Alligator mississippiensis: one gene and its partners. The protein of the gene in region 3 purifies or fractionates together with the protein of the main gene of each other region. This does not show direct contact. Links are inferred from orthologs where the notes say so. Each region holds a gene or a part of one and is shown on either strand. Other genes may lie near its edges.

Region 1 (7,269 bases), on a different chromosome or scaffold from region 3:
CAAAAGCCAAGGAGATGCATGATTGGATTTACCAGCTGGAATCGGAGAAGTTTGACCTCATGGAAAAACTCAGGCGCCAGAAATATGAGGTGAAGGGGATGGGGAATGGGCATGGGGCCTTGTCCCCTTTAGGGGGCACTGGCTCTGATCCGGCCCTGTGAGAAGGGACTGGCTCTGGGGATGGGGCAGGCTTGGTGAGGCAATCCCATGCATCTTGCATTCTTTCCCCCCCGCAGATAAATGTCCTGTACAACCGCATCAGCCACGCTCAGAAATTGTGAGTAGTTGCAATGTAGCTGTTTCCTCTCTATGGGAGAGTATAGAATCATAGAAAATGAGGGTTGGAAAGGACCTCAGTAGGTCATCTAGTCCAACCCCCTACTCAAAGCAGGACCGTCCCCAACTAGATCATCCCAGTGAAGGCTTTGTCTAGCCAGGTCTTAAAAAACTCCAAGGATGGAGAGTCCACAACCTCTCTGGGTAATCTGTTTCAGTGCTTTACTACCCTCCTAGTGGGAAAGTTCTTCCTAATATCTAACCTAAACTTCTCTTGCTGCAACTTGAGCCCATTGCTCCTTTTTCTGTCATCTGCTACCACTGAGAACAGTCCAGCTCCATCCTCTTTTGAACCCCCTTCAGGTAGATGAAAGCTACTATTAAATCCCCACTCAGTCTTCTCTTCTCCAGACTAAATAAACCCAGTTCCCTCAACCTCTCCTCATATACATGAATTCCCTCAGCCCCCTCACCATTTTTGTTGCCCTCCACTGGACTCTCTCCAATTTGTCCACATGCTTTCTGTAGTGGGGGCCACAAAACTGGACACAGTACTCCGGATGTGGCCTCAGCAGTGCTGAACAGAGGGGAAGAATCGCTTCTCTTGATCTCTTGGCTGCACTTCTCCTAATGCAGCCCAGTATGCTCACAACAAGGACACACTGTTGTGTGTGGGACCACCCAGGCCAGAGACCAACCACCTCCTCCATCCCCCAACCCTTTTTCCCCATGAGGGAAGGAGGAGATGGGCTGATACTGAGATGAGCTTGGTGAGGCCAGAGGGTTTTGACACCAAAACTGGCTTGCTCTGGGGAAGATGCTGAGATCAGCTGGGCCCAGGGTTGGGTTGGGGCAATGGTATGTTTGGGGGACAGGAATCTGGGGGCCTTGAGGTCTGTTCTAACCCTCCCCTTTCTCTCCATAGCAAAAAGGTGCCTGGCAAGGGCCGTTTCGGAGGCCGCTGGAAATAAACGCCAGGCCCTCAGGCAGATCGCCCCTGCCACCCTTCCCTCCTGCATCCACCCTCCTGTATCCAACCAGATGATCCCCACCTTGACTTCCACCCATCCTGGTTCCTGCTGGCATGGAGATTCTGCCCTGTGTGATCTGGAAAATCAGGAAACTGGTGTGAGCTGTGTCCTGTGTCCAACTACCTGGGCCATGTAATAAAACATATCCCTTGCCCTTGGCTCATGGATGGAGCCTCGATCTGGTTTGTGGAGCAAGGGAGGGAATTGTGTATGCATATTGAGAGGGGGAGGGGTGTGTGTGGCTTTACACAGAGCCCCCCCTAGGCAGATGGGCCCCTGACACTTAACTGTCTTCTAGATCACCCCCCCCCCCCAAATAATTCCCCTCCAAACCTCCCCTCTACCACAGGCATGGCTCCCCTGCTGTCCATCACACACACTTCTGCCCCCACACAGATTTAAGCTGCTTCCAGCTGCCTACCTCCAATTGCTCCCCTCCTCCCACCACACAGCAGGGCCTGTCCCCCTAAAATAAGCCCTACCCACTTGGGAGCTGACTGCAACTTGGTGGCAGATCTCTAGGCTTCAACAACAGGGTGGGAGGGATCAGGTGGGCTCCACTGCCACCCTTCCCTTAATACATGGAAGTCTGATGCTCTGTTAGGCAGTTCCTAGGATCACCAGTTGGAGGGTTGAAGGAAACAAAGGCTTGTGCTGTCCCCAGGGATTCAATAACTGCCACCAAAAGGCAGTGTCAGAGTAAAGGCAGCTCTTCACAGGTCAGCCTCACATGCCCTCTCTAGCCCACCAGGGCACTGGCACCGCAGTAACATACAGAGGGATCAGGACTTTGAATAAGCCCCTTGTTCAGATACACAGGGCTTGGCCCAGCTCGTTCAGCAATGGGCCCAGACTCCCTGTAGACTCAGGCAGGCACTGCATGTCCATCAGTCCCAGGGAGTGGGAGAGGAGTTTTGCTTTGTTTCCCATGAATGCTAAGATCTGGGGGCCAAGGCTGCTGGCAGTAGGAGATGCTGGAAGGTGACAGGGGAGAATACAGGCTATTGCCAGTGGGACAGGGACGGTGCACTAGGAATCAGCCTAAAGCAATGTGGAGCCACAAAGCTGCAGCCTACTAAGGTGCCCAAGGATGGGAGGTTTCCTAGACTCAGACTCCAGCTCAGGGGAGGCTAATTATTTCAGGCGGAGGGCTGCTTACTGAGTTTTGGAAAGCCATTGAGGGCCACATGACAGGCAGCCAGGGGCAGATAAATATTAATTTTCTAAATTTTTTAGGGGCCCTGCAGGCCAGACAGAATGGCCTGGTAAGCTGCATGTGGCCTGCAGGCTGCATTTTGCTCACCTCTGAGCCAGCTGGACTCTATTTCCCATGATAATTCTGGGGTGGGGGACTCCATTCTCATGATGCAGCAGGCCAGCACACACCATTCCCCAGGTTGCTTCTGGGTTGGGGGCTCTGCTCCCATGATACAATGGGACATCAGAGTGAGGGGGAGTGGCAGTGGGCAGGGCTCTGCTACCCTAAGGCCCCATGGCCAAATTGCCTGGGGACTCCATTTCCAGCATGCTTTGCAGAGGCCAGGGGCAGCTGGTGGGTGGGGGGAGAGGCAAACTCCATTTTCCAAGATGCCCCATGGGCAGGGTGAGAGAATCCATAAGTGCCATGCGTCTGCTGTGCACCCTCTCCTGTGATGCCCCAACAGGTGTGGGGTAAAGGGATTCCATTTCCCATAATGCCCCACAGCAGTGGGCAAGAAGGGACTCCCTTTCCCATGGTGTACTGCTGTGACTCACACCCGCTCAGTCTCTCATGATGCTCTGGGCAAGTCCCACCACACCCTGCAGTGGATGGATGAGGGGGGAGGGACTGTTTCGTACATTGCACGAGTGACTCCCCACGCCAATGATGCTCGGTACCTAGGCAAGGGACTCAATTTCCCAAGATACACTGCGTCACACCCCATCTCCCCCTGCCTCAGCATTACAGGGATAGGGAGGAGGGGGAAACTGCACTGCCCATGATGCCCTGCAGCAGGTGGGAAGAGACGAGAAAGGAAGAGAAGGGGACTCCCTTTCCCATGATGCACTGCGAAGGAGGAATTCATAACTATGGTTACCATATTTCCAGGTCCAAACATAGGGCAACTGGGGAGGGGGGTCTGATTGCTGGGGGGCGGGGGGCAATCCTCCCATCCCCCCGGGCTCTACCAATGCCCCTCCCTCCCGACTCACAGCCCCTGTCGCCCCCGTCCTGACCGCGCCGGAGCGCTGCAGCTGCGGCCGCTCCAATTCTTGCGGGCGGTACGAGGGAGGGGACGCCTGTGACATGGCAGCCCGGGCTCGGGCTCCCGAGCGGCGCGGCCCCCCCTGAGCAGCATCTCCCGGCTGCCCCGCCACGCTAACCCTAACCCCAACCCCCTGCCCTGCCGCGCCCCCCCACCGTTTCCTCCTTGACAGAGCAAAAACCCTCGTTTTTCCGCGGCGAACGGGAAACGCGGCTCCGCGGAGGGCCCTGGGAAATGCAGTCCCATCGGCAGAGCCCAGACCTCTGCTCCCAGAACCTGAACACAGTCCTGCCCCCCGGGCGGGGCGCTCTGGAGGGACCCCTCCTGCTGCTCCTGGCGCTTCTTCCTTCCCCAGCCTCAACCCCCACACCACGCCCAGCAACTACTCCACCTCCTCCCCAGAGCTGGCCCTCCCCACGGGGATCCCATTCTCACACCACTAGTGGCTCACATCTCCTCTCCCAGCATGCCCCGCGACGGCGGCTTTGTGCAATAGGGGACAAGGACTCCTGTCCCCATGACGCACTCCTTCCTCCCCGGCTCTTCTAGCATGCCCGGGCAGGGACTCACTTTCCCGTGACGCCCCGTGCCTCCCGGCATGCCCCACGGCTGCTTTTCCCGGCCTGCCCCGCGCCGGGGGCGGGCCCGCTCGTTTCCATGGCGCCCCGCCCCCCGCTTCCGGCGCCCCCGCTGGCTGCCGAGGCAGGAAGCCGGGCGGGGGCCGGGGGGCGATGGCGGCCGAGGCGGCAGCCGCGGCCCAGGCCCGGCGGCGCGAGCAGCTGCGGCAGTGGGAGGCGGCGGCGCCGGCCGGCCCCCCGCGCCCGCCCCGCGCCCGCGCCGTCCGCTTCGAGCGCGCCGCCGAGTTCCTGGCCGCCTGCGCCGCGGGGGAGCTGGCCGAGGCGGCCGCCATGCTACGGGGGGGGGCCGAGCCCCAGCCCGACGGCCCCGGGCCCGGGCTCATCGACGGCACCAACGCCGACGGCATCAGCGCCCTGCACCAGGTGCGCGGGCGGGGGGCAGTGGGATTGCTGCCTCCCAGGGAGAGGAACGCCTAGGGAGGGTGGTGGGGTCGTTGCTGGAGGGCAGGGGCAGGTCCTAGGGGCTGGAGTAAGTAGGGTTGGAGATGGGAGCATTGGAGGCAGTGAATGGGTGGGGGACTGTGGGATTTCTGCCCTGCAGGGAGAGGAAGGCCTGGGGAGGGGGGCCATTGCTGGGGGTGGGGGCAGTTCCTAGAGGAGCTGGGGGCAGGGGGGATGCTGGAGGCAGGGGGTGGGGGCAAGCTGGTGGTGGTGTGAGTAGTGGGATCCCCATGGTGAGGGCCAGCTCTGGGGAGGGGGTGGAGTAGTTGCTGAGTGGGGTGTGGTGGTTGAGGCTGGGGAAGGAAGAAGGGCCAGGAGCAGCAGGAGGGGGAGGAGGTCGTTGCTTTGGGGGTTGGGGTCATTGCTGGTGGGTAGGGTGGGAGGAGGGGGTAGTTACTAGAGGATCTGGGGACACTGGGGTGGGAGAAGCTGATGGTGTGAGCAGTGGGATCTTCCTGGTGAGGTCAAGCCATGTGGGGGTCATTGCTGGGAGGTTAGGAAGAGGACACAGTTACTAGGTGAGCGTGGGAGAGTGGGGGTAGGAGGAGGGGTCCTTGGGGTCAGGGTAAGGGGTGTTGGAGGCAGGAGGGGGTGGAAGTAACTGGCGGTGTCAGCACTAGGATTTTCTCTGTGAAATCAAGGCCTGGGGAGGGCAGTGGGGTAGCTGCCTGGGGGAGGAGGAGGAAGGTGCTAGGGGAGGAAGAAGGAGCTGTTGGGGCAGAAGGGTGATCGGGGGGGGGGCAGTACTGGGGCTAGGAGGAAGAGGCCATTGCTGGGGGTTGAAGGAAGGCCCCTTGGGGTAGGAAGAGGTTACAGTTATTAGGGGAGCTGAGAGCAGTTGGGGTAGGAAGAGGGGGTAGTGTGGGGGCAAAGTGGCTGCTGCTGTTAGCAGTGGGATCCCCTCTGGTGAGCTCAAGCTATGGGAAGGTGGGTGGGGTAGTTGCTGGGGGGAGTCCTTGGGGTTGGGGGTAGCATGGGGGAACAAGTGTTTGGTGCTTTTAGAAGTGGGATCCCCTCTGGTGAGCTCAGGCCCTGGAGAGGGGATTGGGATAGCTGCTGGGGAGGGAGGAGGTGAGGGGCAACAGAGGGAGGAGGAACGGGCAGTTTTGGGTGGGGGGGGTGGTAGGAAAAGAAGGGTTTGGGGGGAGCTGAGGGCTAGAGGGACAGTACTGGGGTATAGGAGGAGGAGGGGTGGTTGCAGAAGGGGTCCTTGAGGTTGTTGGGGGTGGGGAGCAAGTGACTGCTGTTGTGAATGGTGGCACCCCACTGCCAAGCTCAAGCCCTGAGGGGAGGGGGATGAGTAGTTGTAGGGAGCTGTTGGGGCAGGGAGTGAGGAGGAAGGGGTAGCCAGTTGAGGGGTGGGAAGCATAGGAGGAGGGAGTTGTTGGGGTCAGGGGTGTTGGGGCAGTGGGAGGGAACACCTGACTGCTGCTCCTTGGCAAGCGGAAGCCCTGGTTGTCTCTTGTCCTCTAATCCCTCCAGTTCGGGGGGTGCCAATTGTATCTAGGCAGAGGGGAACCTTGGGGGAGGGGTGGAGGGTAGAAAGAGCCCCCATGGGAAGGGTGCATCTGGGAAGCAAGGGGGTAGGGCTTGGCAGGGGCTTGTCATGCTGGTAGGGTCAGGAGCAAGGGGGTGAAGAGGCTAAGGTTAGGCAGTTGGGGACCAGAGGCAGGGATGGGGAGTGCCAGATGCTGGAGGGGAAGTATCCTCAGGAGCTGGGGGGGCGTGGAGCAGGAGTGGGGCACTTGGAAGGAGGGGTAGTTACAGAAGAGGGTGTGTGCTGTGGGTGGTGGGGTGGGAATAAGGAAGGGGAACTGGGTGCCAGGGGCAGGTGCAGATGGAGGGTGGGCAAGGAGGGCTGAGGGGGGTAACTAAGTGGCAGCAGATCTGGGGAGGGAGTCCTGGCGCTGAGGCTTCTGGCAAAGGAAACAGTATGGTGGGGGCAGGGAGGAGGGAAAGGCCTCCAGCTCAGACAGTGCTGCTACATCAAGGCAGCTGGAGCCATTATGCTCTGTATGGGCATGCCCAGCCCTGCACCCTGCCAAGGGGCATCAGCTCCCCCAGGGTCCGTGCTGCTCAATTCCCCACATCGCTAGGGCAGCCTTTGTTTCTGTTTGCCAGAGTCCACCCAGGTGGGACTGGGGGATCAGAGCAGCAGGGGTGGAAACCAGCCAGCAGGTCTGCCTACTGAGAGGATCAGGATGCCTGGGTTCAAAGCCCAGCTCTGAAAGCAGAGAGGAGTCCAGAGTCAGGGTAGGCAGCTCATGGAACTGGATGCATTCCTCTTCCAGAGCGGGGATAGAACCCAGGTGTCCTGGCTGCCAGCCTCCCCCATGCAAGGGAAATTTGTTGGAAACCAGAACCCATCAGTTACATGCCTAGCATGGCCTGTTAGGGGCAGCTTGTGGCAGGGACTTTCTTCTCTTCTGGGCACTGACCCCAGTCTGACCTCAGGGCTGGGGGCAGGCTTACTCAGGGGGTTAGGGAGTGGGACAGCTCCTCTTGTGTCAAGCAGTGGAGGGGGGGAGTGCCAGCGTCAGCTGGCTCCAGCTCAGTCCCGTCTCATGCTCATTTGCTGCTGCATAATGAGGTGGTCAGGTCTTGGTCTGTGGTGGGTGGGTGTGAGGGAGGGAAGTT
Region 2 (7,712 bases), on a different chromosome or scaffold from region 3:
GAGCAGGGATTGTCAATTTTTTGTCTCTCACAGCATGGCGTGCATTGGTGGTGCTAACAAAGACTAGACAGTCAAATAGTAAGGGATTAGTAGTCTGCTCTGGATACCCTGAAATGGAGGCAAAGGAAGGACACTGAGTAACTCCACTCTGTCCTAACAAGTTATTAAAAAAATAAAAGAGCTGTGATGGGAGCAGATATAAAGTGCTTATGCTGTAACCCTCCTAAACTTATTTATTAGAGACAGAGCCCAGCACTTGTGGGAGACATCTGTGAAAAGGGTAAAGAAAATCATTTTTGTAAGCATAGAATAACAATGGAACAAAAACATGTCACTAAATCTGAAAGCAAACTTTCTTAATGGCTCCTAAGGAGAAAAATGGCTCAGGATTAGCAAGACAAACTATATTTGGACTGGATATAATAAAACTTGAACCAGTCCAACAAGAAATGGGAGTGTGGCAGAACAGTGAGAGACCATTTTTGGTCTCTGAAATAAAGATTAAGGAGCTTAAACAGAGGAAGGTGAAGCAGTCCAAAATTCTGCTTTATTTTGTATCTGGTTTCTGGAAGGAGATATGATCCATATATATGCAGCCAACAATTAACACAAACTAGGTAAAAAAAACCTGTTAACATAGTATAAGGAAACTGATGGTTAGTTCAAGTCACCTATGCTCTTTTCCCTGTTCTAACCAGGCTTAAGGTCTACGTGGTCCAAGTATAGCTTGGAGAAGCATAAGGGCTGCTCTAACTTACACTTGGCTGTGCTAACTCCCTAAGGGCCTTTTCCAGGAGCTGAGATTAGCCAGTACAGGAAAATATCCTTCTTGTCTCTGACATGCATCCTGTGCACAGGAATAAGGGGGTGAGCTGTCAAGACAGCCCTTATCATCAGTACTGTGTGTCTGAGAAGCATACAGCAGCAATATGATTCCTTCTTGCTCTGGCATGACTCAGAGACTAGAATCTATCTACTGGCTGTAGCAATAACTCTTACATAGCGCTTCCTCCTTATAGATCTCAATATGCTTGATAGAGGAAGACATGTACATCTAGGAAGTGTGAAACAGACAGTTGAAAGTGGCCACCCAAGATGCTGCAGCAGCTCAGTAGCATAATCCAGAAGAGAATCCATGCCTCCAGGTTCCCAGTCTTACGTTCTGTCCTGTGGCGATGAAGAACTGTTTTGAACCCATAAAATACTCCTATGTCAAAGCCCTTGCAGGTGGCAAAGCAGAGCAGTGGTAGCCCAGAATAAATCTGCTGTCCCTCTGTGGTATGGAAGAGAGGCTAACAGCTCCTGTGTATGGACCTCTTGCTTGCCAGCTGCCAAGTGAACTGGAAATGGCCCTTAGGTTGTTAAAGAAAAATAAAAAAGAGATTACTTTTAAACAGAATGAGGTTTCCAAAGCCATCAGCTATTTTTAGGAACCCAAAGGGGAACATGTGGAGGAAACTGGAAGCACGGTCTTGCATAAAAGGGTGCTAATTTAGAGGGTCATCAGACAAATTAAGATAATTTAAGAAATCTAAGCAAACTGTGTGTGGGTAGCTTGCAAGAGCACTATCCTGAACTATAGTTTTGAGAAAATGAACAATACTTCACTCTGTTTAGTCAGTAATCTATTCACTAGATCACCATCAGTGAGAAGTATGCAATCATGAAGTTTGGCAGACAAGGTTCTTTGGGTAAATCTGATATCTTTGACTAGACCAACTCAAATAGTGGGAAAAATTCTTCTTAGCAAGCTAACAAACACCCTTATTCAGGCTGAGGAAGCGTCTGCAGATGGTCTGTGCTCTTCCCGGATAGAGTGGTAAAGCAGCCAGAGGCCAGTGTATATGCAAGGAAGCCAGTAGATTAAAAAAAAGATATTGGATTTACCCAAAGAACCTTGTCTATGTTCTTAGACCAAAACAGCTACAACCTACACCCCTCAATCATGATGTGTGAATTTGCTGTCGACTGCAAGTATATTATTTATTACATACAACCACACCCCTCACACATCAAAACTCATCACCCCTTTGTCAATCCAAAGATGATAGGATAAATTAACAAAAATCAAAATATTTAAAATTTAAGAGATCTGATTTGCTACATCATTACACCAGTTTCATGCTGGTGTTTCTAAATCTGTTGGTTGGTCTGAAATTGCACTGTAACCAGATTGTTGGAAGAATCTGCTAAAAGAATACATAGTAATTGTTAACTCAGCCATAGTGGATATAGGCAATGTTTTCACAGAATCCTGAAGAAGTCGGGCTGGAAGGGCTCTCCAAAGGTCATCTAGTCCAACCCTTGCCTCAGGCAGGATCACCCCTCTACAAACCATCCTGTACAAATCCATAATCTAAACTCTTAGTAAAACTATCGTGAACCCTGACACAACACGAGACATAATACCCTAACCTGCCACAGGTAAAGTAGGAGAACCAGGCCACCCTACATCCTGCTTCTGTAAATGTTTGTCAATATATGCTCAAGAGATCCCACATAGAAGGCCACACCCTACAGAGGGGGAAAAACCCCCACAGTCCATACCAATCTGACCACAGGGTAATATTCCTTCCTGACCCCAAATACGATGATCAGTCAGACCTGGAGCGGGAGGGGCAAGACTCTCTAACCAGGAACCTCTGGCTTTTAAGTCCCACCAGAAGCATTGGGACACCCATCAAAATCCCCAGCCTTGGCTGCAGCCAACACCCGGTGCATCTTGAGGAAGGCTAAAATACACCGTGACACAGGTAGCAGAAAGGAGAGGAGGGCACAACCAACAAATATGTACCTTTATTTTAAAGGTATATATTTACAGCAGAAACAGGAATAAACAAATACTACAATATGTAATGCTGTAGCTAACACTGCTGTAAAAAAAAGGTTTTCTTATTTTTCTGGGTTTCAGGAGTACTTATACCCATGACTTTGTGCTTTATAAGAAAGAAAAGGGGCCTGGTGCATTTGTGACTATGCTCTCACAGTTAAAACAACTGTCACTGCACCCAATGGGGATCACCAGTTCATTCAGATCAGCGCACTTCCCCGTGACACTGGTGCGGTCTGTGTCACACCACTATTTGCGGCTGCTCTAACCACAGCCGTATGGAGAGGAAGTGCTCACTTCCTCCCAGTGCTGTCCACTGTCTGAGGCTGGTGGATCCTCAACAAGAGGGAGATGGTGCTGGGGTGTGAGAGGCTGGCTGGTGTTACCAGTCCCTGGCTATAGTCGGTGGTGGCTTTAGGGTTGTTGGGGCTCTTGGCAAAACAGTCATTTGCGGCCCCTTAGAGGCATAAGTTGAAGAAAGAACAGCTTTAAATAAGTTGGAGAAAGAAAGAGCTTTTTAACATTGAGTTATATTCTAGGTTCATTGCATCTTCTATGTTGGCCCATCTACAACACAAATTCCTCACAGGGCATAAGCTGATAGCCAATGTAGGGCCCTGGGCAGTCATCCGGTTTCTCCTTCCCTAAGGCTGCTGCTGCTATGGTGGGGCGTGAGCTGCAAGACAGAGGAAGGCTGCAGATCCGGTGCCCGGCGGGCCCCTGCTGGCAGCATGGATGCGGCCCTAGCTGGGGAACAGGGAGGGAGGGAGAGGGGCTTCCTGAGGGGGAACCAGCTGTGGCACAGGGCAGGGCAGGTGGGGAAGCTCAGGGCCGCTGGTCTCTGTTCCAGGAGGGCCCAGCTGTGGGGCCCAGGCAGGGCCGGACACAGGCGTGGGCGAACCAGCCACCCGCCCAGGGCCCAGGCGGAAAGGGGGCCAGAAAAGGGGGACTTGGAGGTCATGACTGACCACAAGATGGAACATGAGCCACCAATGCGATGCCACAGCTGGCAAAACAAACAAAACCCTGGCTTGCATTTATTGATCCATCTCAAGCAAGACCTAGGATGTCATCCCCTGTTGTACTCAGCCTTGGTGAGGCTGCAGCTGGAGTACTGCATCCAGTCCTGGGCCCTGCACTTGAAGAAGGACGTGGAGAAGCTTGAGCGAGTTGGGAGAAGAGCCACGCGCAGGATAAGAGGGCAAGAGGACAAGCCCTATGAGGACAGGCTGTGAGACATGGGGCTCTTCAGCCTGGAGAAGCAAAGGCTCAGGGGGACTTGGTGGCTGCATGTAAGTATATAAGCACCAGGATCTGGGGGAATGTCTGTTCACGGGAAGACGAGGTCTGACGGTCACAAACTCCTCCAAGACTGTTTCAGGCTGGACATAAGGAAAAACTTCTTTACTGTCCGAGCCCCCGGGGTCTGGGACAGACTCCCTGCAGAGGTGGTGCAGGCACCTCCTCTGGACTCTTTTAAGAGACATTTGGATGCTTATCTTGCTGGGATCCTTGGGCTCCAGCTGACTTCCTGCCCCCGGGGCAGGGGCCGCACCCCGCGCACCCGCAAGGTCCCTCCCAGCCCTCACCTCTATCAAATCTGTGAAAAATGGTCATTTTTCGATGATGATTATTACGAGTATCGCTGGCGAAGGGGGGCTGGCACTGAAGTGACCCCAGGACCACCGCGACCTGGTCAGAGCAGGGCAGAGCCCCTTCCCCGACCCGCGCGGGGCCGGGCGGCGCACGCGGCCGCGAGGGCTGGTTCCCGCCCCGCCCCCCACGCACCCACGCGGGCGAGGGGCTTCGCGCGGCACGTGACTCCTCCAGACCCCCCGCCCGGCGGCGGTCACGTGGCCCAGTGATGTCACGGGCTCCCGGGGGCGGGGCCCGTGCTGCTCCGGCGCCTGCAACTACTTTCCCGGGGCGGCGGCGGCGGAGCCGGTCCAGGTCCCACGCGGTGAGTGTGTCCGGCGCGGGGCCCCGGGGAGCTCGCCCCATCCCATCCCGTCCCGTCCCGTCCCGCGCTCCTTGCCCGAGCAGGAGGCAGCGCAGCCCGTCCTGCCCCCCGGGCCTGCTCCGTCCCTGGTCCCGCCAGAAGTGTGGCCCCCCGCGGGGTCCCGGCCCGGCCCGCCCGTGGAGGACACCTTTGTGTCGGCTCGGCCCGCGCCTCCCCGCCCCGCGCTCGTGTCCCGGCGCCCGCTCCGGGGCAGCGGCGGGGCGGGCGTCGCTGGAGCCGCGCCCGGGCTGTCTGGCGCTGGCTTTCCGGCCGGTCCCCGGGCGCGCTCCGGGAGCAGGGGCCTCCCAACGACCCCTCCCGGCCCCGCTTCAGAAACGCACCCGTCCCCTCGCGATGCCCAGCGCGGCCGCCCGCCCGGCGCGTACACACCGGCCACATGGCAGGGGCACGAGTCCGCGGGAGACCGCTGCTCCTGCTCACCTGGGCGGGAGGGTTTTTAGCAGCACGGAGCTCTTACGTTTTGCCTCCTTTCCCCACTGGGGCAGGTGCTCGCCAAGGAAGGGCTCCCAGAAGCGGGTGGAAGTTTTTTGTTTTTCTTTTAAAGGCAGGTCTAGATTGTGGTGGAAGTTGCTGACACCGTGTTAGCTCCAGCTGCGATAATGGCCCGCTGTAATTAATTCATTCTCATCGTGCTCGGTTTTTTTATTGCCTGAATGATTAATAGATGAAATGACATTAATTCCACCAATAGATTTTGTTAAAAAAAAATGCAAAGCTTTAACCTATTGTCTTCTGCCTAGATGGCAAAGATTAAAATAAGCAAAGGAGAACTATTTTTCGAACTTTAACCATCCAAGTCGGGGGTTAGCAACCTTTCAGTAAGGGGGAGGGGGTGGGCACGAATTAACAGCACAGAAATGAGGAGGGCCCAAGTGTGCAGTTTGATTGTGGCTTGGATCTTCAACAGCAGTGTGACACCGGGTGGCTCCTTCACAAAGCACAGGTACAGGGACTTGCCCCAGCTCCTTGTGGTCTGTTAGCAGCAGGAAGGAATCTCCCAGCAAAGCAACCCCCTTCTTGCAAACTCTAGGGAGAGACCGTTTCTTGCCCTGCAGACCCAGGGGGAGTTGGGGGCAGGCACCCTTGCTCCCACACTGATTAAAGGCGGGTTCCCCCATGCACGCCAAACCACAGCTGCAGGTTTATACCTGCAGAGCGTTCCCATTGCTGCAGTCTAATAAGCGCAGCCCCACACAGACTGTTCCCTGACTGCCTCTGTTTCATCAGGGACATGCTGGAGCTGCTGTTCCAGTCCCTGCTGTTACTGCTGATTTCCAGTGTGTGGCCTGCCAAGCTCTGGGCGAGCAGATGGTGAGTGCTCTGGATGTGTGAAGGAGGCGTGTTGGCCACGCGGTCCATTCTGCACCATATATGTGGCAATAGCTGCAGCAACAGGGACTAGAACAGGCGCCAGCATGTCCCTAACCAGCTCTGTGCCTGGTGCAGAACAGCTGTGGGATGCGTGGAGGAACCACAGTTGCAGCCATGTAGGTCAGTCTGTACCCCGCACTTGGTTGCAGCAGTAGGAACTGGGACAGAAGCACCAGTATATCCATGACCAGCCTGGTACACGGTGCAGAAGGGACTGTTCAGCTGCAGCTGTGAAGCTGTTTTGCACCATGCTGGTCAGGGTGGTGCTGGTGTGTCTGTCCCAGTCCCTACTGCTGCAGCTGCTGCTAGGCACATGGTGCTTGCAACTCTTCCATATGGCTGAAAGCTCACTGTGCTTTCAGGTGCTCCTTGTGATCAGCAGGGGTCTGGAGCTTGCTGGACTGGATCCAGCTTACTGGTCAATGTTGCTGACCCTGCTGGCTTTGGTGACTTAATTTTTTTTTCCCATCAGAAGTTACAAATTATAGTCCCTGGCAATAGCTCTTCTATTCTCCACGATGCTTAAATGCTATGTAAAGATATTGTTGTATATTAGATACTGAAGAAGGAACATATTGCTTATCCCAACCTAAGTAATAAGTTATGGCAGAAGCTATAATTACTAAGCTGCTTTAGACAACCATGGACGTCAGGAAAGATGATTGGGTTCAATTCAGTATTGTCATTTGTAGCTAGAAGCTGATGGAAACCGTTGTAGAAGACTATGGCAGTGATTCACAAAGGGTATGCCGAGGCACACTAGTTTGCCATGAGGGTGGCAGAAATGTGCTGTGACAGATGGTGCTTTTCTTCCTTTTTTTTTTTATATGTAAAGTTGGGGGGACATAGCCTGCGTGGAGAGCTGGACAGTGTAGAGTGCAGTGTGACTGTGGCCCTGGGGTGCCGGCGGGATGCGGTAGAGGCAGTTTGTAGGTGTCTGATCCTGGTGCGCGTCCTTAGTGGGAAGCTGCACGTGCACTGCAGCCAGGGAGCAAGGGGCTGGGGGAAGATGTGGTGGCACTGGGACTGGATGCCTGCGGACTGCTGCTGCTGTACCCTGCCTGTACCCTGGGGTCACTGGTTGTGCTGTATACCTGGGCACACAGCTGCATCCTGCTTGGCATGCCTGCTGTTCTCCCTCACACTGGGTAGGTAGGTGCAAGTTCTGTCCCCACTCCCTCCTCCCCACTTCCCAGGTCCAGCTGATTTGTGGGGGTCTGGGAGCCCTCTCACCTGGCCCCACCCCACAGATCTCCAGGGTGCCCTTGCCAACAAGTATCTGTGCCCCACTCCTTGCCTCAGCCATGCTTGTAACTAGAACTGTGCAAAACACCATCGTTTCGTTTCAGCATCCCTTTTGCCATTTTGGAGGGACAGTGTTTTGTTTTGTCGTTTTGTTTAATTTCGAAGTACTGTTCTGTTTCGTTTCATCAAAACTGTTTTGCTGTTTCAATGCGTTTCGACGTTTCACCCATAGGCTCTAACGGGGGA
Region 3 (7,088 bases):
AGGAAATTAAGAAAGAGGAGAATGATCAGTGGAAGTTTGCCAGAAGCACCAGTACATGCTTAACTCCACTCAGAACACCAGTAAAATACCCTGGGATTCATCCCTGTTTGCTGCAAGTGGCTTTTCATGTCTTCCTGGTCAATGAGAATGTTGCTTTAAGTCCAAATGCAGCATTTCTTTCTGTTTTGTGGGAGATGATGAGCCTAATTACTGTATGTACTGAGTTAATTCCACTGATTTAATGCAATCACCCCATTATAAAACAATTATAATACAAGAGTAGAAAATCAAACCCAATGTACTTAACTGAGCTTTTCAAGAACGCATATATATTAGCTATTTGGTTTAGCACATGATATGGCGTTAATATAAAAAGGAAGATGCATGAAAAGAGAGTTTGTAACTGAAATCAAGAAAATAAAAAAGCAAGGGATTTCCCCATGCACCTATCTTCAGTCTTTGTTGTGGGTTCTCTGTTGCAGCATCTCTGCTTGTCCTGTCCTTTGATTTTTCTGGCATTCCACTGAAACATTGAAGAAACATTTTAAAGGGCCTACTATATAAAGCTATCACAATTTGGGTTTTGTTCAATGTACCTTTTAGGTTTGTTGGCTTTCGGATTTTTGTACTGTTGGGCTCTTTGTACCACTGTGTCACAATGTGACATCTCTATCCTGTTGTCATACAATGGCCTATTACCAAGCAACATCATCATGTCACAGCTTAATGTCATGATAGCTTAAACCATGGGAGTCAAATGCACCCAGTCTCATGGGCCAGAGTATGGGCGTGGGGCCAGCCTGCATGCTGGATTAGCCCCACAGACTGGTCCCATGTGCTGGATCCAGCTCTCATGGCTGGTCTAGTGCAGCCTCTGCATGCAGCATACACCATGTGTACTGCTTGTAATGCAAACACTAGCTCCAGACCTGCATGCTGCATGCACACACCTCCTGGTCCTGTGTGCAGCATGCAGTACGTGGGGCTGGTCTGGCATGCCTGCTACACACTGGACACAGTGCTGGTCTGGGGCATATGCCACATGTGGTGCCCACACCAACCCAGTCCTATGGGCCAGATTCAGCATGCAGGGTTGGTTTGCGTCCCCATACCGACTGGCCCTGGATCTAGTGTGGAGGGCTGGTCCAACACAGATGCTGCATGTAGTGCGCATCCCAGACCAGCCCCATTCTATGTGCAGCCCATGCCAGACAGGCTGTGTACCACATGTGGCTTGCAAGGCCAATTCCAGTGCATACTGCATTGTAGCAGGAAGCACTGCAGGCCAAATGATCCAGCTTCATGGCCTGGATCCAGCCCATGAGCTGTGTCTTTGACATCCCTGGCCTAAACTAACATTCAAGGAAGTTTAGTAGCGTGAATTGCAAAGGGGACAAAAAGTGCAACCTCTGGTAGCACATCTACTGCATTTGGTAGCCATGAACCAGTTAAAAAAAAAAAAAAAAAAAAAAAAAAAAAAAAAAAGAAAGCTAAATAATCAGGCTTTCTAACTCTCAGCAAAAAATGAACAAAGATTTCCAAGTGTCATTTAGCCCCCAATGTTAACATAAAGGTCTAAAAAAGAGTTTGTATATGCATATATGCTTTCAGCAGATGAGCTGAAATGACATTTTATTATCTGCCGTTTGCTAATGGGAATAAAAAGTCAAACTTTGAGTCTTTTTATAATTCTGAATCCTCTTGTTTTAGTATACTCAGCAAAAATACATCCTCCTCCTACATATCAAAAGAGCCTCTCCTCATGTTAGTGTTTGGGCACCCCAACATAGTCTCCCACCTATTCATCACCTTGCCTTAAGGATGTTTCTTAAAATGTTGCTCAGACTTGCTTTTCCCTGATCATGATGTGAAAACTGATTCCTGAAGATTTCTTAAGATAACATGACTTTTCTGGTTGGTGTGTATTGATGGAAAAATTCAAATGTAAGTTCCTAGAGACATCTAGTCTGATTCTATATTTAGTCATCTAAATAGTGACTTGATATTTCTACCCAGGAGAACTTTTACAATTTTTTTTCTCCAATGCCTGATGAAGGATGTTTGTGCCCAAAAGCTTGCAATTAAATAATTTTTTTTTTTTACAAAAATCTGGTTGGTCTAATAAAAGATATCATCTCTACTACAAGTCCTGATTGATATTTCTAGATAATTTACAGTTTACTCAGCACCAGAAAAAATAACTACTGTTCAGCTGGCTATATGTAGATGAGCATGTTATGTCTCTTTTCATGAGAAGAGTTTAACTGCTACTTTTAAAAGCATTTTTCTGCCCATGCAAGTAAGCACTTGTTGGCATGTGCATATACTTAAATGGTTTTCAAGAATGAATCTTGAAAAATATTTCAGGAATGGAAAAAGAATATAGTGTTTAAAGGTCCTATTCACACTGCAGCCCAGACCTTTCTGATTAGGCTATAGATTTTGACAACTGTGTTAATCATTGGTTTAGTGATTAGCTTGGCATTCCAGCATTAACAACTTTTTTACAACAAACTATGAGCTTTGACAGGTGCAGGAGGAAGGGTGCACCTGTCAATAAGCAGCCTGTTGGGGGTCTAACATTTTCAACCCTTACGCTTTGAGGCAACTTCTGTTTAATTATAAGGAGAAATTCTCACGCAGTGACATTTTTAGGGGCTGAGGTACTAAGGAAAGCACCAAAAATCCCTTGCACCGCATAAAGCAGCTGAATGTGAGCTTCCACCACACCAATCATGTAAGGGTGAATTTACCTCGCATATAACACATTTTTGGTATAAAAAGGTCATCGCATAGGAGTGAATTCGCACATGGAGAACCTGTATAAAGCAGGGGAAACCTGTAGTGTGGTTCTCTGCACTAGATCAGGTATATCAGGCTGGGGCAGCACAGGGCTGGATCAGGGTACCTGTGGGCTGGCCCTATGCCACTCATCTGGCTGACTGAAAGGTTGCGCACCCCTGCATGTATGACAGGGGCAGGCAATTATTTTGGGCGGAGGGCCGCTTACTGAGTTTTGGTAAGCCATTGAGGGCCACATGACAGGCAACCAGGGGCAGATAAATATTAATTTTCTAATTTTTTTAGGGGCCCCGTGGGCCCGATAGAATGGCCTGGTGGGCTGCGTTCAGCCCACATTTTGCCCACTCCTGGTGTCTAATGTGTGCGTGAACACACAGCCAATTTCTGCACTTCAGCCAAACCAGCAGTGCGGTGTACTGGGATAAAATGCATGCCCACAGGACTGGCCCCATCCAGGACATGCAACTTATCCAAACAGCTCCTTCAGCATGTGGAGCTGTCAGGGCTGTGCCACGAACAGTCACCGAATTGACCTGTTCCCACCATTTTTAAGGCATCTAATAGCAGCCCTTCAACAGCGACTTCCCATTCCTCTTTTCTGGCCCACCTGAAGGGAACACAAGTAGCCCGCAGGATGCACAGACGTGGTGCCAGCTCAAAGGATCAGGTCAGGGGAGTACCACTGAGCTGCCAGGCAGCATAACCTCGCCCTGCGTGGCATCACATCGGGGTGCTGCAGTGCGAACAGGAGGCAGCAAACAGGGCTCACACTGTGTTATGCACTGACACTACTATTTGTGCACTCGGCCCGCGGGCAGAGCAGAGGGCTGCCCCGCCCCGCTCAGGCCCGCCTGCTACCGAGAAAAAAAAGCAAAGCCGCACACGCATGCGCACTCATCCTAGTACCGCAAGCGCAGCAGCCCGCCACGCCTGCGCAGTCGGCCCTCAAGCAAAGCGGGGAAGAGGGGGGGGGAGCAGAAAAAAAAACCCTCCGCGCCTGCGCAGTCGGCTCCGAAGCGGGAAAACAGGTGGTCAGGGAAAAGCCCTCTGCGCTTGCGCAGTCGGCCCTCAAGCTTAGCGGGAGGAGGGTTGGAAAAAAAAAAAGGAGCCCTCTGCACCTGCGCAGTTGGCCCTCAAGCGAGGCAGCCGCGAGACAGGGAGGGAAGAGCCCCCTCCCCTGCGGCTGCGCATTTCTGGGAGTGCCTGGAGCAAAGCAGCCGCGGCAAGAGACGCGGGAGGGGGTTTTGCGGCGCATGCGCAGAGGCGGCCTCTGAGGCGGGGAGGAGGGGCGGCTGTCTCTCTCTCTCTCTCTCTCTCTCTCTCTCTCTCTCTCTCTCTCTCTCTCTCTCTTCCGCCCCCATTCCGCGGCGAGGGCGCGAGCCGGGCACAGTCGGGGGCAGCGCGGGAGCAGTCGGGCGGCCGTTGGTTGCGCGGGGCGGGGGGAAGCCGCGTTCGCCGAGGCCTCTCCACCCCGCCCGGCGCCGAGTCGGCTGGACACAAAATGGCGGACGGGGAGCTGAACGTGGACAGCCTCATCACCCGCCTGCTGGAAGGTGAGCCCCCCCCTCCCCAGCGCCCCCTTTTCCCTCCCCCCGCTGGGGCGGGGCTGCGAATCCCCTCTTTCCTCCCCGCCACACCTGGGGGGCAGTGTGTGTGCGGGCGGGGGGCAGTTCCTCAGGGAGATGGGGGGGGGGGCGCGGGGGACCTCGGTGCATGAGGGAATAAATCCTCCTGGAGATGGTGGGAAATTTGTTGCTGTCTTCTCCTTTGCCGAGGGGGACCTCCTTGTGCCCTGAGTATTCTCAGGGCTGGGTGAACGTCCAAGTATATGCCTAGGGCCCTAAGTGAGGAAGGGGCCTGCTTGTGCTTCTTCTATACCTATTATAATTCTGGAGTGGGAAAATTAAAAAGTAATATACACAGTATTAAGAAGGGGCCCACGAATGTGTTTGTGTAGGGTCCACTAAAGGGTTAAATCCAGGCCCCAAACATCCTTGTTGTAAAGCTTCCCCCTGTTGGGGTGGGGGGGTCTTGCCTTACACCCTGCCACCCACCTGCAAGAATAGGCCACTGGGGCAGAGGGGTTGGGTGCACGGTTGCACAGGGATGGGCAGTGAATAGGAGTTGCGGCAAGGCTGCCAGGGGTGTTGGTTCTGCCTTGGAGAACACGTAATGCCAGTAGTTTCCCTCTGCCTGAAGAAGGGTGTTTGTGCCCAAAAGCTTGCAAAGAACAATTTTTCAACTATTTAGTTGGTCTAAAAAAAGATATATTACACTTACCCAAAGGACCACGTCTGCCTATGTCCTTAGACCAACACGGCTACAGTCAACAACCACAGAATTTAAGATGTATGCAATAGTAAATTCTTCATAACATATTTTTAATTAAATACTTATAAATCTCATGTGTCCATTATATGTAAATGCAAAACGAATTGGACATAAGTTTCTTTGCAAGTGGTTTTAGTCTGATGCCACGGACTAGGTAGCTGTACATCCAGCAGGTAAAAGATCTGGACTTTGTACTATGAGCCCCTGGGCTGTAATCTGTGCCCCGTCCTGTTGGGGCTGACGGGGGGGGGGCTGTGCCAGGTTGTTGTCTGACTTCATAATGAGTAAACAGTGAAAATCTGGGGTGCTGATAGATGGAGAGCGTGCGCCTGGCCACAAGAGGGTTGTTGGGGGTAGTTCTGCTAATATGTTTGTGCTTAGTGTATTGTTGCAGGAGGCATTTCAAATGCTTGTATTTGTCCTTCGGTGGAGTGTAAATATTTGTTGGCTGGGCAGATGACAACTTACCTTTTGAGTTGCTTGAAATCTAAGAATGTTTATCAAGTAAGATTTTCTGTACAGGCCCCTTTGTGACCACTTAACATGCACTTTCCAGCATAAGCTCCATTTTCAGGGATTAAAGACTTTCCGGCCTGCATATATACATCTTCCATACATAGGGGCACTGGTAAATTTTGTCCAGGGTAGTAATCTATTTTTTTTCTAGTTTGCTTATTTGTATTCCTATTTAATTGATACAGTTTATTAAAATATTGTAGAACCACTTTTTAAGCACTTGGTTGTCTCGTTTTTCTTAGCTATCATTTATCTTAATAAAGTAAACCATGAAACTCCATGTATACAGTAGCTGCTTTCCAAAGAAAGTGCATATCCATATTTAAAATAGTTGGTAAGACGTAGTGTTTCCAGGGGTTTCATATAACAACTAAACAAGATCATAGCCATCCTAGGTTTGGACCAGTCTAGACTGTAGTAAGCAAATTTGTGTTAAAAATGGCAGTGTATTTGTTTGAAAACTATTACATTTTTAAAGACAAATTTGTTCAAATGTGTGTTGTGCTGTTTGTAGGTAGTCAGTGTTTTCTGAAGCTGTTTTTAAGTTTGATTTACTTAATTTAAATTATGCAAAAAAGGTAAGGAAAACCTGTCTGGCTTGTAGCAGTAAGAGTTCTTCCTCTCCTCCTCCCCCCCCCCCCCATTTTTGTTACCATACTGCTAACCAGGGGTTCTTTTAAGTTTCTTCCTTGCTTCAGAAAGAGAATCTGTCCTGAGAATTTGTCACGGTATCATCTTTAGCTTTTAAAATTACTTGGTGTGGGTGAGGATTTTTTTTCTTACATTTCTGTTTTACACTTTCTGTGCTACCAGTATGCCATAAGATGAGTAACAGTTTGAGTAACGGCATCTTAACTCAGAGGTTTCTTTTATGTAATCAAAGATGCTTACTAAGTTTACAGTTTAGTATGGTGTTGCTGGGTAGTGCTCTTTCTTTCTCTCTCTCTCTTTTTTTTTTTTTTAAGTATCAGTGTAAAATGTGTTTTGAGTGGGGGGAAAAATGGTTTGTTAAATTGCTCTTCGGCTGAAATGTTTTTTGACAGATCTTCATTTTTTTTAATAGGTTTAACTTGTAAACACAGAGTTTTAAAGTTTCTTTTTATCTGTCTAAAGGGAGGGTGTTTTATATGGCAGCTGAATTTACAGCCCTGTCAAAACCCATTTGCATTAGACATATCAAAAAGATGGTCTTTGCCTCAGAACTCCGTGTAGCTTCAGGCTGTACACTTACTGGTTGAAGTCTGTTGTAGTTTTTTTATGCCCTGTCACAAATGTTAAAAAAACCCATGTCTTACCAATGTACTTCTGTTAGCAAGAGCCCCAGTAGATGCAGTTTTGCTAGCAAGAATAGTTATGTAGTTTGCTCAGTATAATTTGCATTTCCAATAGAAGCAGCGAGGATTTTTTGGGGGGGTGAGATCTTTTTATTTGACTGACTG
Region 4 (7,507 bases), on a different chromosome or scaffold from region 3:
GGTGGCCTGGGTGCAGAGGCAGCAGCCAGACAGAAGCTATTGCTGGGCACTGGGAAAAAGCAGGATCTGGCAGTAGGTATGGCTGCCTCCACTTTGCCACTGATGGGCCCTTCTGGCCACAGCCACCTGGAACCAGGTGGAGGGCAGCACCAGCATGGGCTCTGGGTAGCTGCAGTAAGAAGGGCCTGGCACTGGTGAGGGGGAAGGGACTGCATCCAGGGCTGGGTCCTACTTTTTCCCTGTGCCCAGCAGCAGTTTCTGCCTGGCTACTGTTCATCGTGGCTGGGTCAGGAGGTTTAAAGCAGGCACTGCAGGGACCATAACACCCTGCGTGGGGTGGGCCAGGACCAAGGCTGTGAGCTCAGCCCAGGGCTCGGGCCCCGCCCATGCAGGTCCCAGCCGGTCTCCATGGGGCCAGAGCCGGAAGGATCTGCTGCTACCAGAGTTGCTGAGAAATGGAGTCTAGCCACAGAGACATCCCAGCCCAGCTGAATGCCTTGGACCAAGGGACCAGTTGTGGGCCAAAGTCTTTCCACAGGCTGAATTCTGCCTGGCCCTGCTCTAGGTCAGGAGTCAATCCATGTCTTAGACCAGAGGTCAGCAACATTTTTGGGCAGAGTGCCAAAAGTGCCCACAACCTCAACTTGTATGATGCTGGCATACCAGGGGTGGACAGTGAGGGTGCTGCGAGGGGCCCAATTGTTGTGGCAACGCAGCCACGGCCCCTTCCCCTGACGCACGCGTACCAAGCAAAATGCCTTTGCATCTCATGCTCTGGCACATGTGCCGGGAGTTGCCTACTTCTGCCTTAGGCCCTCTGTACCATACTGTTAAAATAATCACACCTAACTCTCTTCATCTCTTCCTCTCAAAGAACAGTTCATGATCCCTACTTGACAAATGAGGAAAATGAGGTACAGAGAGGGGCAGTGATTTTCCAACTCACCCAGCAGGTAGTAGCATAAATAGAAATACAAGTCAATTCTCCAGAACAGCGGTCCTCAGCTCAAGACTTGTTAGACAAAGGAACACCTATTGTATGCACCCTTGTCCAATTTCCCACCTCTGTCACCTTCCCACTGCATCCCCTTACCCAGAGGTGCCTGTGGGTCCTTTGGGTCACTGACTGCTGCACAGGTGTGCTGCCAGGTATGTTACACTCTCTGGATCCCCCTGGATTGTCTGCCTGTTCTTGAATGTCCTCCCCAATTACTGTCACCTACCATTTTACCTGAACTCAGACTTTCCAAACCTCCTACCCCTTCTCATTGACTTTATGTCTTGCCAAAGCTGGTTGGACCTTAGAGCTTTCCAGTCCAGTCCCACTTTCAAAGCAGAACCCATGTGTTATGGGTTCTATTCTATTCTGCACTCTAAGCTACTCAAGCCCACTCCTTTCCCAGAGCTGGGATAAAACCCAGGAATCCTGATTCTCAGGCTGTTCTCTAACCCATTAGACCCCACTCTCCCATTCCAGCATTAAGAATTACACCCAGAAATTCTGATTCCCAGTCTGCTTCAGTTCTATATGTCCCTACAAGCCACCTCTCCGATTTGCCAAGATTTTGCTGTTGGTACTTCTCATCCCTTCTCCCCACCTCTCCTCTTCACACTGAGCAGCTGAATTTCAAATGCAGAATCATCTGGTGTTGGAACTAAGCACTACTTTCGACCCTACTCTATCATCCAAGGCGCACACTTCCTTGGCAGGGAGAAGGGGCTGCACTCACTATGCACTTCTTGCGTGTCTTCTGAGGTCCGATGGAGCCCCGGTGGTTACGTCGATAGCCAAACCAGACAGGATTGTTACCATATTTCTCAATGTATTCTGTGCAGAAGAGAGGAAAGTTAACAATTCCTTAAGGCGAGCTGACCCTAAGGATTCTAAAGTATATGAATAAACATAGCCTCGATAGCTTTAGCTCCACTATGTGGATATTAAGAGAGAGACTAGCTAGTTATTACACAGCAAGCTGTGCTCAGAGATGGGAAGAGAACCCAGCTATCTAACTCCTAGATATCAGTTCCCTCCAAGAGAACACAAGAGCCCTAATTCCAAACTTTCTGCTTCAACGGTGCCAAGTTCATAGGCCTAGCATTGACCTATTTACAGGCCCTAAACTCATACCTTCTGTCTCCAGATACTCCCAAGGCTTCTCCTTAAAGCGGGATTCAGTGTCAAAAGCAACTGGCTCTTCAGATTTGGCTGGGTCAGTTTCTGTGCTGTAGGCCCGGAGCTGCGGGAGCTGGAGGTGGAGTGAGGCACTGGGTAAAGCCTGAGAGACAATTAGACATGCAAGGAAGTGACCAGGTTATTCTGAACCAAAGGCTGATATGTAACAGAGAAATGTAGTTACCTCTTTGGTGAGACAGCTGATGATAGCTGCACAGAACTATCACATAGGAACTGCTTGCCAAGAGCTGAGAGTTTTACCCTGAATGGAAAAAGCTGACCTACAGAGCTGAGAAAGTTCTGGGAGATTTTGCAGGGGGTGGGGTGGGGGGGTGGTTAATCAAATAGGTTCAACAACACATAAAATGTTTTGCTGTTAACTTCCCTGGAAAATTAAAAACAAAACAAAACACACCAAGGGTAACCACTAGCACCTAAGGTGTCGCTGCAAGGAGCTACTGGACAGTGTAAGGCAACAGTCGCGAGAAATTGTTTCCACCATAGCTGTTTTTGCCTCGAGTCTCACAGCATCCTTAACTGTCATTCTGAAATGGCTCGCCAATGAAAACATCTCCAAACACTCTGAAACACTGAAGTTAGAATGCAAGGCAGTGTGATGGACCATAGCACTGCAATCCAATGTGATACAACAATATTATACATGGTGCCATAATTTGGCCTATCACAATCACATCACATCATACAGCAATCTGCCATACAGGATTTCCAATACCTAAGTTAATGATGTGATGAAGTTGTCACATGCTGAAGAAATAGGTTGCAGGAGCAGCCAAAAACGTACTTATGATATAGGCATGTCAGCTTAGAACAAGGAATATCGTTACACCATGTAAGTGGTCAGCCTGCCCATCCACGGGGATGACACAGACACAGGATCACAGAAAATGAGGGCTGGAAGGAACCTCAGGTCACATCCAGTCCAACCCCTTGCTCAAAGCAGGACCAGCCCCACTAGATCATCCCAGCCAGGACTTTGTCAAACCGGACCTTATAAACCTCCAAGGAAGGAGCTTCCACCACCTCCCTGGGTAACCTGTTCCAGGGCTTCACTGCCCTCCTAGTGAGAAAGTTTTTCCTAATATCCAACCTAAACATCACTTGCTTCATCTTGAGACTATTGCTCCTTGTCTTGTCATTGGTCCCCACATCGTGTCACGTCAGCCAACGCGGCCTGACACCATCGTAACGTGTTGACATCACGATGACATGCTGCGCCCGAGGCACCAGTATCCCAGCACCACAGCAACCCATCCTGGTGGCAGGGACAAGGTGACACATCCCCTGAGGGCAAAGACATTACAGAGCAGCTGGCAGCGCCTCTGCACGTCAACCATGGCAGTGGCAATGATGTCCTCTTACGTATCCAGGCGAGATGACATCAAGGAAGGGGACACCCCCCCAATGGCCCTGCCACGCGGTGTGCAATGACATTACTATGCAGGTGTCACTGAAGCACGGCTGGCAGCGGTCAGGCCACAGCCAGGCTCCTGAACCCTGCTCCTCACCTGGGTCCACAGGAGCCGCCCTCTCTGCCTCAGGCTACTCATCGCCCTTCGCCAAAGCATGGTCCTAATGGCCAGCGCCATGTTAAGAGAGGCACAACTACGCATGCGCGCTGAGCTCTAGCCTCAGCTGTCCCGGTAGCCGCCATCTTGTCGCACGTGATCGCTGAGGTCAAAGGTCATTACTCCAATTTTACTATATTATTTTCTTAGTCCCTAGTGATAAAGTACGGATAGGAAGAATTATTAACTTGTGAAACGCATCATGCATTTCGTAGAGAACTGGAGATAACCCCCCCCAGAGGCGCCTCCCCACCCTCGAGCATGCGCAGTGCTCAAGAAGGAATAAAAACTGCGCCACAAACACAAGACAATAGCGGGCGGTGGTCGCGCATGCGCACTGGCCCCGCCCGGAGCAGCCCACTGCTGCGCTTGCGCAACGAGGCTGAGGAAGCGCTGGGGAGCGGTCACCTACCCGCGCCTCCTAGCCCACGCCCCACGCCACGAAAATGGCGCCCGCCCGCGCGCATGCGCACCGGGCCCCGGCGAAACTGCGTCACAACTTTTCCCGATTTTAAAAACGGTTTTGGAAGGCGGCAGCCGCTTTCCAGTGCCGAGAGGCTTTCCGCTGCGGCCTCCGATTTCGGTTTGGGCGTTGTTTCAGAGGATCAGTCCAGTCGGGGCGGGTGGGGAAGCGGGAAGTGGGCTTTGTTCTCGCGCCGCCGCGCGAGCCGGGGGGGCGGGGCGGGAGGGGCGGGGCTCCTTATAAAAGGCGCCGCCCGCGCGCCTTTCGGCCATTCTGGGGTCTGGTTAGAGGTGAGTACAGAGCCGTGCTGCGACGCGGCTTGTGGGCGCTGGGCGGGGGGGCTGCAACCTCCACCTGGGGCGAGCTCGGGCGTTACAGAGGCCCGTGGAGGACGAGCCCCTCGGGTCTGGCGGAGGGAGCTGGGGTCTTTCGAGTAAAGGAGGGTCAGGGTTGGTCAGGAAAGTCCCAAGGCACAGAAAAAACCTGCTCCTTTTCTCCCCCTCTCCCTGACCCCCCCGCCCTTTATTTATATATATATATTTCCTCTTCCAAATTGTCCCTTTAACAACCCTTTTTTTTGGCCTCGGGAAGGAAACCTTTCAAACTTAATGAGTTAGATGATGTGGTTTGTGCTATGGTTTTGTTTTTTTAATGACCTTTTTTGATCCATTTCTGTCAAAAAATGCTAATCTATGCGCTCCCCTCTTTTTTTTTCTTCCTGTTCCAGGTTTGTTTGGTCCTGAAACTGCGTCGAGCTTGGCAAGAGAAACCAGAGAAAATCCCCCCCACTCGGTCCTTGGAAGACACAAAAAACCAGCCACCATATTTTTGACCGTCCTTGGGAAGCCGTTTAAATTCTTTGTGACCTGAAGGAAACAGCCACTTAAACATACAAAAAAACCAAACAAATAATAATTAGAAACAACCTGCCCTGATCTCTTTTTGTTTTTTGTTTTTTTTTTTAAATCGAGCAACTTTTTTTTCGTTTCTTTATCTCGACAAACAGCCACAAACCAAAAAAAGTTGCTGTATTTTTTTTAAAGCCATGACCAAAAACAAAAAAAATATTTTTTTTCTTTAAAATACACAACTTAATCCAAAACCAAACTTTGAAGCGCTGTCGACGAGAAAAATAATTGGATAGTAAGTGTCGAATTTTCAACCAACTGACCAAAAAAAAAAAAAAAAACCAAAAAAAAAATTCCTCCGTTGTGCCAAAGAAACTAATTACAGGGAGAGACCAAAAATAGGCGTATGTCTGTTTATGAGGACAATAGACTTTGTTTCAGGCTGTTAACCCTTGAGATTAAAGCATTTTTAAAAAATGCGTATTTATAAGGACTACGATGGTATCTTAGAATAATCCATCGTCTTTAGGACTATGAAGGGTTAATGAGCTCCCATGCAAAAGATGGCGGTGACTAAATGATAAAGTATCGCTTCTTTGTGTGGGAGACAAGGTTGTTTAAATGAGCAATCTGTACATAAAGATTGCAGGGTAAGGCTGTAGGTAACGAGGGAAAGCAATTTCTGGTATTAGTGGTGGGATTGGTTTGAAAGATTAGCCTTGCAATGCTGTCAAATCCTCTTATTTTAAATTCAATGTAAATGTTAAAATTTTTGTGTGACTAAAAAAAAAAAAATTAAGCCCTGCCTGTCATTTCAATAATGTGCGTATATAGAGAGAGTGAGAGTAGCAGGGGAAAGGAAATTGAAAAGGATTTTTTCTAAATTTGGGTGGCAATCTACAAATAAAGATTGCAAGGAAGTTTAGTAGCTTAAATATTGTTTTAAAATTCAATGTTTTTTTTTTTAAACAAGGATTTTGTTAATTCATAGATTCCAATTACAATGAAATCTTAAATGCGCTTTTAAAAATGTAATTCTAGCTTCATATTCCCCCCCCTTAATCAAATATGGCGAACCTGTTCTGTCTGCCTGTCTTTGTTCCGACAAGCAGCCTTTTATTTTATTTTTTTTATTTTATGTTTTGCAGGTTGATCCCATTTTTACCTTCCATTTCTGCCCCTCCCGTATTTGACGGGACACAGTTTAGCCTCCCCAGGATGTATTGTCATGGGAGAGTGGTGGGAAGAGATTCTGTATTGAATCTTTGACTCCCAGTAGCAACCGAACCTGAATTTATTTTTTTGTAATTGTGTGGGGTTTTATTTGTTTTTGTAATTGAATTTTGTAGGTTTGGGATAATAGGATAAAATTGTGGGGGGGGGGGAGTGTGTGTGTGTGTGTATGTGTGGTAGGGGCTGTGTTACTGTACATGTCCTCTTAATGGATACTTAAGCCTTGGGGTTTTTTCTTGTTTCTTCGCCCTTATGCTCCTAAAATGGCGCCTGCCTCATTTTGTCTTTCTTCATGTACAAAGCAACCCACAAGGCTGTGGGCAGGGAGGTGATGTAACCAGTTCCAAGCAAACTCCTCCCACTGAGTTGCTTGCATTTCCTGGCAAGGGAAGGGGAAGGGGAGGAGGGGAGGCACTTACCCTTGCCCCTCCGTTTCTATACCGATCTAACAAATTCCACTCCCAGCTTCTTCGTCTACAGGAATTTTATAGGCACAAACCTATATAAAGTGCAAAGTACGAGCCTACATCCGCCAGATTTTTTTTTTTTTTGTAGGTTTCAACATAACCCAAGACTTTGGACCTTCTGCTCTCCTGACTTCCTTGTATTTGTAACTTAAGTTGTTTTCTGTCAAGCTTCTCTGCTAGCGTAAAACAGTCTCTTGTGTTTCCTGCAGTCCTGCGAATTCCACTTGTAACTATAGGTTTAACCAAAGGGACGGTGGTTGGGAGAATTCATCTTGATCAGTTAATATAATTTGTGATTTGTCATAACAGATGTGAAATGCTATCACTGGACTCCAAAGGCGCTGTACATAACCCACAAATGTGGGTCAAGGATGTTGTGGGGGGTCTGGGGGGAGATATGTGCATCTCCTCCAGCCACATACACACCAACTGTCTTGTCGGGCAGGGAAAAGGTAAAGTCTTCTATTCAATTAATTTGCCACATTCCACAGTGCATAGTTCCTGTACAATGTACTAGGAAAAGACGTGATCATTAGGAAAAAAAAGGGAAGCCCGCACTTGTATTACTTCATCAAAGGGAGGGAAACAACCACAGTTCACCTGGTAAGCAAACCTTTCTGGTATTAATTACATTTCACAACCTTCATTTCTGTTCCAGACCACTTCGCTTTTTTTTGTTTTTGTTTTTTCCTATTCTCTTCCATTGTCAACTCCATGCAGTGACACCTGCCGATGCA

Evidence for each region.
Region 1: the proteins of PPP1CB (region 3) and PPP1R12C purify together in Homo sapiens (affinity purification with mass spectrometry; 3 studies listed by BioGRID and IntAct, with this or other methods). This does not show direct contact. The link is inferred for Alligator mississippiensis from reciprocal best matches to the Homo sapiens genes PPP1CB and PPP1R12C.
Region 2: the proteins of PPP1CB (region 3) and RAI14 purify together in Homo sapiens (affinity purification with mass spectrometry; 3 studies listed by BioGRID and IntAct, with this or other methods). This does not show direct contact. The link is inferred for Alligator mississippiensis from reciprocal best matches to the Homo sapiens genes PPP1CB and RAI14.
Region 4: the proteins of PPP1CB (region 3) and PPP1R10 purify together in Homo sapiens (affinity purification with mass spectrometry; 5 studies listed by BioGRID and IntAct, with this or other methods). This does not show direct contact. The link is inferred for Alligator mississippiensis from reciprocal best matches to the Homo sapiens genes PPP1CB and PPP1R10.

What each region holds. Positions count from the first base shown.
Region 1 is NC_081828.1:39,232,973-39,240,241, reverse strand, and holds the start of PPP1R12C (protein phosphatase 1 regulatory subunit 12C), read left to right. Parts: upstream 1-4,269; 5' UTR 4,270-4,284; coding exon 4,285-4,554; intron 4,555-7,269. Other genes in the region: TNNT1 (troponin T, slow skeletal muscle), read left to right, coding at 1-89, 237-277, 1,202-1,247. UniProt on the Homo sapiens protein: Regulates myosin phosphatase activity.
Region 2 is NC_081826.1:280,132,439-280,140,150, reverse strand, and holds the start of RAI14 (ankycorbin), read left to right. Parts: upstream 1-4,701; 5' UTR 4,702-4,790; intron 4,791-6,077; 5' UTR 6,078-6,161; intron 6,162-7,712. UniProt on the Homo sapiens protein: Plays a role in actin regulation at the ectoplasmic specialization, a type of cell junction specific to testis. Important for establishment of sperm polarity and normal spermatid adhesion.
Region 3 is NC_081824.1:176,137,660-176,144,747, forward strand, and holds the start of PPP1CB (serine/threonine-protein phosphatase PP1-beta catalytic subunit), read left to right. Parts: upstream 1-4,076; 5' UTR 4,077-4,303; coding exon 4,304-4,355; intron 4,356-7,088. UniProt on the Homo sapiens protein: Protein phosphatase that associates with over 200 regulatory proteins to form highly specific holoenzymes which dephosphorylate hundreds of biological targets.
Region 4 is NC_081834.1:53,548,866-53,556,372, forward strand, and holds the start of PPP1R10 (serine/threonine-protein phosphatase 1 regulatory subunit 10), read left to right. Parts: upstream 1-4,489; 5' UTR 4,490-4,512; intron 4,513-4,949; 5' UTR 4,950-5,365; intron 5,366-7,507. Other genes in the region: MRPS18B (small ribosomal subunit protein mS40), read right to left, coding at 1,731-1,828, 2,129-2,276, 3,700-3,804.